Drosophila melanogaster: one gene and its partner. The protein of the gene in region 1 purifies or fractionates together with the protein of each later gene. This does not show direct contact. Each region holds a gene or a part of one and is shown on either strand. Other genes may lie near its edges. The genes, in order: E(spl)mbeta-HLH and dgrn.

Region 1 (3,762 bases):
ATCCCAGCCCCTATCCATACCCATACAGTATTGGAGTTTTAAGACTTAAGTGCCGAGACGGTCGCGGTCGCGGGCTTAATTTGCAATGTCTGACCGCCGGTCCGTCCGCGCATGTGCCAAGCGGTCAAGCGCAGTTAAAGCTGTCAAAGCCTGAACAAAAAAAAACTAAAAAAGAGCAAAATCTTAAAAAAAAAGCGAAACACAATGACCACAATGCTGAGCCATTGACAGCGGAGCCGCGGTTCTCACACTCGGCGGGCCTCATAATAAATGCCGTTTCCTAGAACTGACTTTTTGCTTTATTTTATTATTTAATTGCGACAGCGCCGGCGCAAAACTTCCCGCAGATATACGTATGTATGTTGTATGCCCCCTGAAAGCCCCGCATACCCTCGCAATCCGAATTCTCGGGGCATAATGAGGCCAAGCCGGAGAGACCAGACGATAGTCCGAGTGTGGGAAAATATTCAGCGACTTCCGGCTGTGGGCTCTGCGATTCGGTTCACCACGGAGTTTATCTCCAATTCGTTTCTTGTTTTAAGGGGTTTCTTTTTTTTAGTTGCTTTAGTTTGCGGTTGGACGCCCACTAAATGTCTGGGAAGTCTGAGTAATCAGCTCTATGGGAAATAAGTAAATGCAGAGATTCTTGAGTTGGAATTTCATTTATTTTCATTTCTTTATGACTTTAAGAAGTGAGCAGCAGCCATCTCTATAGCCGAAATTTGAGGCTCTGCTAGAGATGATCGGTGGCTCTGCTGGGCTGCTGGGAAAGCTATTCCTGGGCAGCAATTGATGATCTCCAAGGAGTTCGGTGCGGTTTCAAGTCCAGCACCTCTTTGGGGCAACAAATTTGTAGAAGCCTTCCGCTTGAAGGCGATTCAGGTGAATATCATCCGGAGTCCAGTTGATCACCAGGGACGCCACATGGGGCCAGAGGTGGAGCTGGCCTCGCTGGGCGCCGGGCTGCAGGCTCCGCTCTCCAAGCTGTCGCATTCCGAGGGAGGTGGAGTGACCATAGCTTGATCCTCTACTGGAGCTTGAAGAGGCACTCCAATGGGCAGCGAGGGAACCACCACTTGCAGGTAGTTGAGACGATGGCCAAGGTGACTCATCAGCTGGGTGCCGAGATCCACACTCACTCCGGGTACAGCGGCCAAGGTTTTGGACACTTCATTGGCAGCATGAACGTAGCCAGCACGGAAACTCTCAGCGATGCTAAGCTTGGGATCGGCACTCGGAGACACTCCACCGGTGACGCTGGACAGACGCAGCTGCTTCTGGGCACGCAGCTTCTTCATGTGCTCCACGGTCAGCTCCAGGATGTCGGCCTTCTCCAGCCGGGTGATGTGCTCGCCCTCCTGGGTCAGGCACTCCACCATGATGTCCTTGAGCTCGTCCAGGCACTTGTTAATCCTGGCACGGCGCTTACGCTCCAGCATGGGCTTCATCACCTTGCGGTACTGATAGGTCTTGGACATCTCCATTTCCAGAACCATTTTGTTGTAGTTTGGTTTTGTTTTTTTTTTATTGGGGGTAAAGTAAACTCGCGTAATCCACAGTCGCAACGTTCCACTAGATTCGGACTCGGAGACTCTGTGTGCACGCAACGAAGTCGGAGCTTTGAATGAGTCGGCTGGCTCTGGGATCGGCTTTATATAGCCTCTGCCGCCCTGGGAACTGGACAGTGAGTGCGAGCGGGACACTCATTTTGCCTCGTGCGCGGCCTGCTGCTGTTGCCAGCGGTGGTTTCAGATGGCTTGGTGGTGCTTGGTTGTGGTAGTGGTGGTGGTGGCTTCTGTTTTTTTGTATACTTTTGCCTGTATATGTGAGGGCAATAAAATGACTTGAGCGGGCTGCGCCTTCTCGCTCTCTCTCCCTCCCTCCTTATGTATGTGCTGTGATTGTTATACCGTGGGAAACTGTTTCGCAGCCGATTTCCACGACGACGACGATGACGACGGCTGGCCTGACTTCTTCTGATTGTGCATGCTTGGGGTCTTGTACGATCCCTCGTCCCTCGTCTTTCCGTCCACCGTCTTTCTTGAGCGGACGGACGGATGGACGGGCCGCCTTTAAGAGGTCTGTGCGACTTGGGATCCCAGATACGATGCGAGGCGAGCACATGCCTTCCATCCATAACAAGATGTTTGCATTTCAATTCATTTGTATGGTCGACTATGGTCGGGGTCCGGTCTTTTGGGCTTCAATTCGGTGCGGTTGGGTTCGGTTCGGTTCGGTCTCAAGTCTTGCCATGTGCCTTCACCCTTTTGCAGTAGCTTATGGCACGCTGATAATTGTGGAATCGTCATCGGGCCAACCCGAGACGGGCCAGTGTTTCTGTTTCTTGCTTTTTTGTTAGCGCTTTATGGATCATTGATTGGATCGTGGTAGTCGTGGGTTTCGTGGGACGAGCATTACGCTTTTCGTTTACATGATTATTCTTGATTGTCGGTTGGGGATCGTTTGGGGATCAGCTGCAGTTCGGTTGGGGGTTTTGGGTTCGCTTGGGGATCTTGGGTCGTCGCTCGCTTCTATTTGTAGACAATTACCATAGCGACTTCGGGCTGGGAACCGATCGAAGTCGACGTGTGCGCGAAAGTCGGTTACAATCGTAATGGCTGTTGCCAGCACACGCTATAAATGTTATGGCTCGTGGGCTATACGCGATATATGTATATGTATGTATACACATTTAGCACATTCGGTATTTATTTTTAACGCTATATCGTCGTGATTCATCAGCTTGAGATGCTAGATCTCCATCCGCCGGCATCTGACACATCTCGGATCCTAAGCTCGGGTTTCTCAACATTTAATTAGAAGTGCCGGCGACGATGACGCTCGCTGGCGTTCATTGAAAATGACACGAGCCCGGCTCATTGGCACACAAATAAGGAATAACAAAAGCTCCGAGACGGCAGCTACTCGATCACTATGTGTATATAAATTCAAACTCAAATAAGACAAATTAAGATTGCCCCTCGACGCATTCGAAATGAGCTACAGTTAGCCGAAACAAAGCAGCAACGGTGATAAACGGGCCAAGACACAAACGGCTAACAACTTATCTAACCGAAACGTTTTGTCCGCTGGACCGGGACACTTAAACTGTTGATGTCAAAAAGCTGAATGCTCCGGAAATGCTTAATTGGATTTTATGGGTCGGCAGTGTGTCAAACTGTTCGTCAGAGGGTGGTGGTTGCATTTTTGGGGTGAGTTAGTCGCATGATATTTGCAACAACCAATTAAGAAGTAATTCATATTGGATTATTAAAGAAACAATACTATAAAAAATATGGAAAAAATATTTCAAAAATTTAAAGATTTTTAAAAACAATTTAGCTACAATTGTAGATAACACGTTAAATTAAGAAATATTTTGTAATAACAATATAATCCATTTATATAATCCATTCATTCAACTAGCTTAAATTAAAAGCTAAATAGTATAGGGGCTCCAATTGTAATTCGGAAGTTCCAATTTTCATGTAGTAGCTATAAATGCCTTTAAACGCCACTGAAAGACTTTTCTAGCTTAACAACTGAATCACTGTCGTAACTCGAATCATTAATACCAATTGTAGCAATTAGAGGAAACCCAGTGGACGAGCACGTGCCCCCAATAGAATTCATCGAGTGTGCCCCTATAGCTTGAAATGCAGAAACCTAATCTGCTGCCCATTCCGAAAATATAATATGGAATAATAAGGTAGTTATTTCACAAATTTCATCAGATTCTGCAATGCTCGTTGGGGTGTAGCG
Region 2 (4,309 bases), about 20 Mb from region 1:
GGTCAAATTTTAGTCACTGGCGAAGCTAAAAAAGCTCGACTGGCTCTTCCACTCCAGCAAACTACAAGTGAGCTCTAAGGCTCTTTTAATCAAAGCCATACTTGCTCCAACGTGGAGTTATGCCATCCAGGTGTGGGGAACTGCCGCCAAATCCCAGCTCAATAGGCTCCGTGTCGTCTAGTCGAGAGCTGCACGTCGTGCTTTTGGGCTCCCCTGGTACGTGACAAACAAGGTAATCGAAAGAGATCTGAAAGTTACCCCTCTTGGGGATCAGATTAATTTTCACAGCAGCCGTTATGCCGACAGGCTTATGGTCCACCCGAACCGACTAGCAAATAGCCTATCTAATCCCATCTCCCTCCGAAGGCTGAAGAGGGTACACCCCACCGATCTCCCTACACCCTTACACAATAAGTAATTAATAACTAGATACATTTTCCCTTTTGTACTTAATAATTAAGAAACCACTTGGTCTAATATACCTTTATACACACATAAGGTTAAGTTCAGAGGAATTGACCGAACGATTCCTTTTGGAACCAAAATAAATAGAATGAAGTTTAAAAAAAAAAAAATATATTGTTATATATATACAAAATTGGAGGGAAAAAGTCTCTTTAAAGACACTTCATGTTCCACCTGTTTCCAATTTATCCTGTTTTATCGACCCTTTAATGATCTCAGAATTCCATGTCTGACTTCTGTCTCAAAAAATAGTAGCCAACAATAAAAAATGAGATTGAGACAAACCTGTTGATATGCGTTGGGACCATTTTATTTATTATATTATATGTATGTTACATTGTTAAATTGCGTTTGGAAAAATGCCTACATAATACTTTGACACTCCTTTCGGTCGTTCTTATATTATTCTAGCCTGAGATGGTTTCATACATCAAAAGTGAAGTCTTTAGTTTTTATAGTTGTATTCAAATATTTTTGGGCGCCACTGATTACATAGGACAACTTAAATAACTAATTTTTTCTGAATCACAAGAACAGACATTATTTGCCGTCTCTAACATAGTTAAGCGTTTTTTTTTAAACTATATTATATTAAGGCTCACAGAGCAAAAAATGTGAAATAGTATAAGCAACTTACAAGTAAATGCGAAAGAATTGACGTGCGGTCAGCTTCTTGTTGCATATTGGGCACTTGTGCGTAGCTCTGATGGCTGTTTCGATGCATTCGCGGCAGAAGACGTGTCCACATTTGGTTGACACTGGCTCGCGCTTCGATACACTGTCCATGCAGATGGGGCACTTGTATAACTCCTCTTTTTGGGACTCATCAATGTCGCGATTAACGCGTTTTGGTGGCGACGCAACGTCGAGATCCACTACCGGGTCATTTTCGGCTGACCGACGTGGCAGAATGGTGAGGGAGTCGTTGGAGTGAAGATTCACTGTGCGACTTCTTGGGCCTTCGGGGGTGCATAGATCGATGAAAGCATCGGGATCACGATTCCGAGCGGATCGAACAGGTGGTGCACGGTCCAAATGGGACAGATCTATCACTTCTACTGGACTCGCTACGGAAAAAGTAAGAAACGGTATTCGGTTTATTGCTAGCTCTATCCGCGAAAGCTATCTGGTTTTCACAAAATTTTAAAAAATATAGATAAATTTTGCCTTCAAAAGTAAGTAACCCGGCAGGGTTATAGAAAGAACTATGTCATTGGTTATTGTGGAATTAAAAACATTGTTCATTGTGAAACCCAGATGCGTTCATTTTGATCTGCACTTACTTCTGCGGCGAATTCTACGAGTTGTTGGCGTTGAGGTTCTCGTGGCGAAGGTGTCAATCTGTGCCACAACTTCCTCGCAGTAGCGATTCACTGAAATATGAAACAATTAACAGAAAACTTCGTAATGATTATGGAGTGACATACTGCGATCCAACTCTGCTTCCATCTGGATCACATCCTGGGTAAGTGATCTGATCTGCGAATGAGCATCTTCAGTCGAGACAGACAAGTTAGCCATATTTAAGGGGTTATTGCTTTGCGGTGACTGCAGTTGGTTTGAAGCTTCTCCGACTGAAGATTCGCTGGTATTGGTGGCTGAAGATGAGTCTGATTCCACAGATAAATCACGCTCCACTGGGGATGGGCGTTCCAAGGACGAATGGGAATCAGCGGATGAATCAGATTCCGCGGATGACTGAGATTCCACGGATGTATTGTGTCCCGAATTGGATTCTATGGATGAATGGGAGTCCACAGAAGAGTCGGATACACTGGAATTGGAGCTCGAACTGGATACGTTGCTGTCCGCTGACTGATCAAGAATGGATGAGTTCTACTAAATAAATCAATCATAAATCGGAATTAACTAGTTTAAAGTCCAGGGTATACTTACAAAACGGAAAATAGTCGAATCTGACATTGTTCGAGCAACAAATGACCAGGAAACTTGTGAAATGATTTCGTAGTAAAGACAAAAGCAGGTGAACCCAGATATACATGTGCTTTAGTGCAGATTGAAATGTGCAAAATAGTTTCCTCCTTTCACGCGACCATTCGGTTATTTTAAAGATGACACTTTACGGACATTCGGGAACAAGGATTTAAGATCGACTATCGATTTTTGCGGTATTATACAATGCTGTTTAGAATGACACTTGTAATTCAATAAAAATCAATAATTTATTAAAAATAAAATTTCCGTTTCGGCGAAATTCTTTGATAACAAAATAATTATAAGAAATGTATATAAATATGTCGACATTACAAAACCATACCATCACTATGTAAACGATATTTTTTAGGCGATTAAATGCCATCGATATATACCGTGCCGTGGTAGTGTTAGAAAATTGCGGGAATTAACGTTAAATGCACGTCACCAAAGCAGAATAATAGAATATTTTCGAAACAAAACAAAGTTGGAGACATGGACAAGGATGCGTTTACATTACAGGCCATACGGCAGGACCTTATCGATAACAATCTGCAGGCTAAGGCAATAATACACGTAAGTCTCCGCTATCTGAAGAGAAACCCTCATTACCGAGCTTCTGTTTTTAGGACATCCTGAACAGCCGCACCTCCATCGCCGAACTCGAGGAGCTGAACGAAGCGGGCCGCTCCAAACTGTCTGCTATCCGCAAAAGCATCGAGCGGCTGGACGACTGGGCGCGGGACACGGCAGACTCTGCGCTGGCCAATGAAGTGGACGACCACCGTGATCAGTTCTCCAAAACGCTGCAGGCGTTCCGAAAAGCAAACGTGTCCACGATGCTGGAGATCGAGAAGGCCAATCGGGAGGAGTTAATGGCCATTACCGGCGAGAGTGAGCTACGCCAACGAACCACAACACGGGCGCGGCACAACCAGGGCAGTCTGGTTTCGCAGGAGAACGACGTGACCGAGAAGATGCTGGCTATATCGCGGCACCTCTCGGAGACCACCCAGAAGAGCGCCATCACCCTGGAAACGCTCGTGGCCTCGTCGCAAAATGTGGAGGCCACCAGCGACGAACTGCACCACACGGCCGGCAGCATTAGCATGTCCGGCAAGCTGCTCAAAAAGTACGGACGACGCGAGTGCACTGACAAAATGCTGCTCTTCTTCGCCTTCTCCTTGTTCCTCGCCTGTGTCTTTTACATCGTCCAAAAGCGACTCTTCTAAGACTCCACAAATGGACAAAACCCGTTCCCAAAATAGCTTAAGGTTGTCGCTTCTGTTGTCTAGGTATAGCTAGATTAAGCTTAGCACATGACCATACCTTGTAAGCACAGCTCCTATATTTATATTATTTAGTGATTTGCCTAAGTTGTAAACGTGGTACAGCCAAAGACCCTAGAATAACAAGATGCGTAACGCCATACGATTTTTTGGCACACGATTTTTTGGCCGTGGCTCTAGAGGTGGCTCCAGGCTCTCTCGAATTTTTGTTAGAGAGCGAGAGAGCGAAGAGCGCTACAGCGAACAGCTCTTTTCAACGCACAAAGTGATAGCAGACATCTGTATGTGTGCACACGTATTCACATGCATTGTAAATTTGACAAAATATGCCCTTCACCTTAGAAGTTCTTTGGCTTTAAATCTATATTATTTTTTATCAATTGGCACCATGCGAAAAATTCTTGTTTTGCATTGCCTTAACGTTATTATTATTTGAAAATAGATTAGAAATAGTCAAATCTATGTACATATTATCACAAAAATAAATTTCAAAAATGAATTTATATAAGAATATTTGTCATTAGAGTATTCATCTTGCGGCGTGTGAAAAATTAATAAGGCAATGATTGTTGAGTGCTTGTGTCCGCACTTCGTGCCTCAAGATATGAACAAAGCAAAGA

What was found.
Region 2: the proteins of E(spl)mbeta-HLH (region 1) and dgrn purify together in Drosophila melanogaster (affinity purification with western blotting, with the first as the bait; one study listed by BioGRID). This does not show direct contact.

The regions. Positions count from the first base shown.
Region 1 is NT_033777.3:26,004,398-26,008,159, forward strand, and holds E(spl)mbeta-HLH (enhancer of split mbeta, helix-loop-helix), read right to left. Parts: upstream 1,627-3,762; 5' UTR 1,497-1,626; coding exon 909-1,496; 3' UTR 649-908; downstream 1-648.
Region 2 is NT_033777.3:5,823,028-5,827,336, reverse strand, and holds dgrn (degringolade), read right to left. Parts: upstream 2,723-4,309; 5' UTR 2,389-2,722; coding exon 2,362-2,388; intron 2,305-2,361; exon of another isoform or gene 2,302-2,304; coding exon 1,893-2,301; intron 1,839-1,892; coding exon 1,749-1,838; intron 1,533-1,748; coding exon 1,099-1,532; 3' UTR 761-1,098; downstream 1-760. Other genes in the region: Sec20 (secretory 20), read left to right, coding at 2,896-2,976, 3,030-3,632.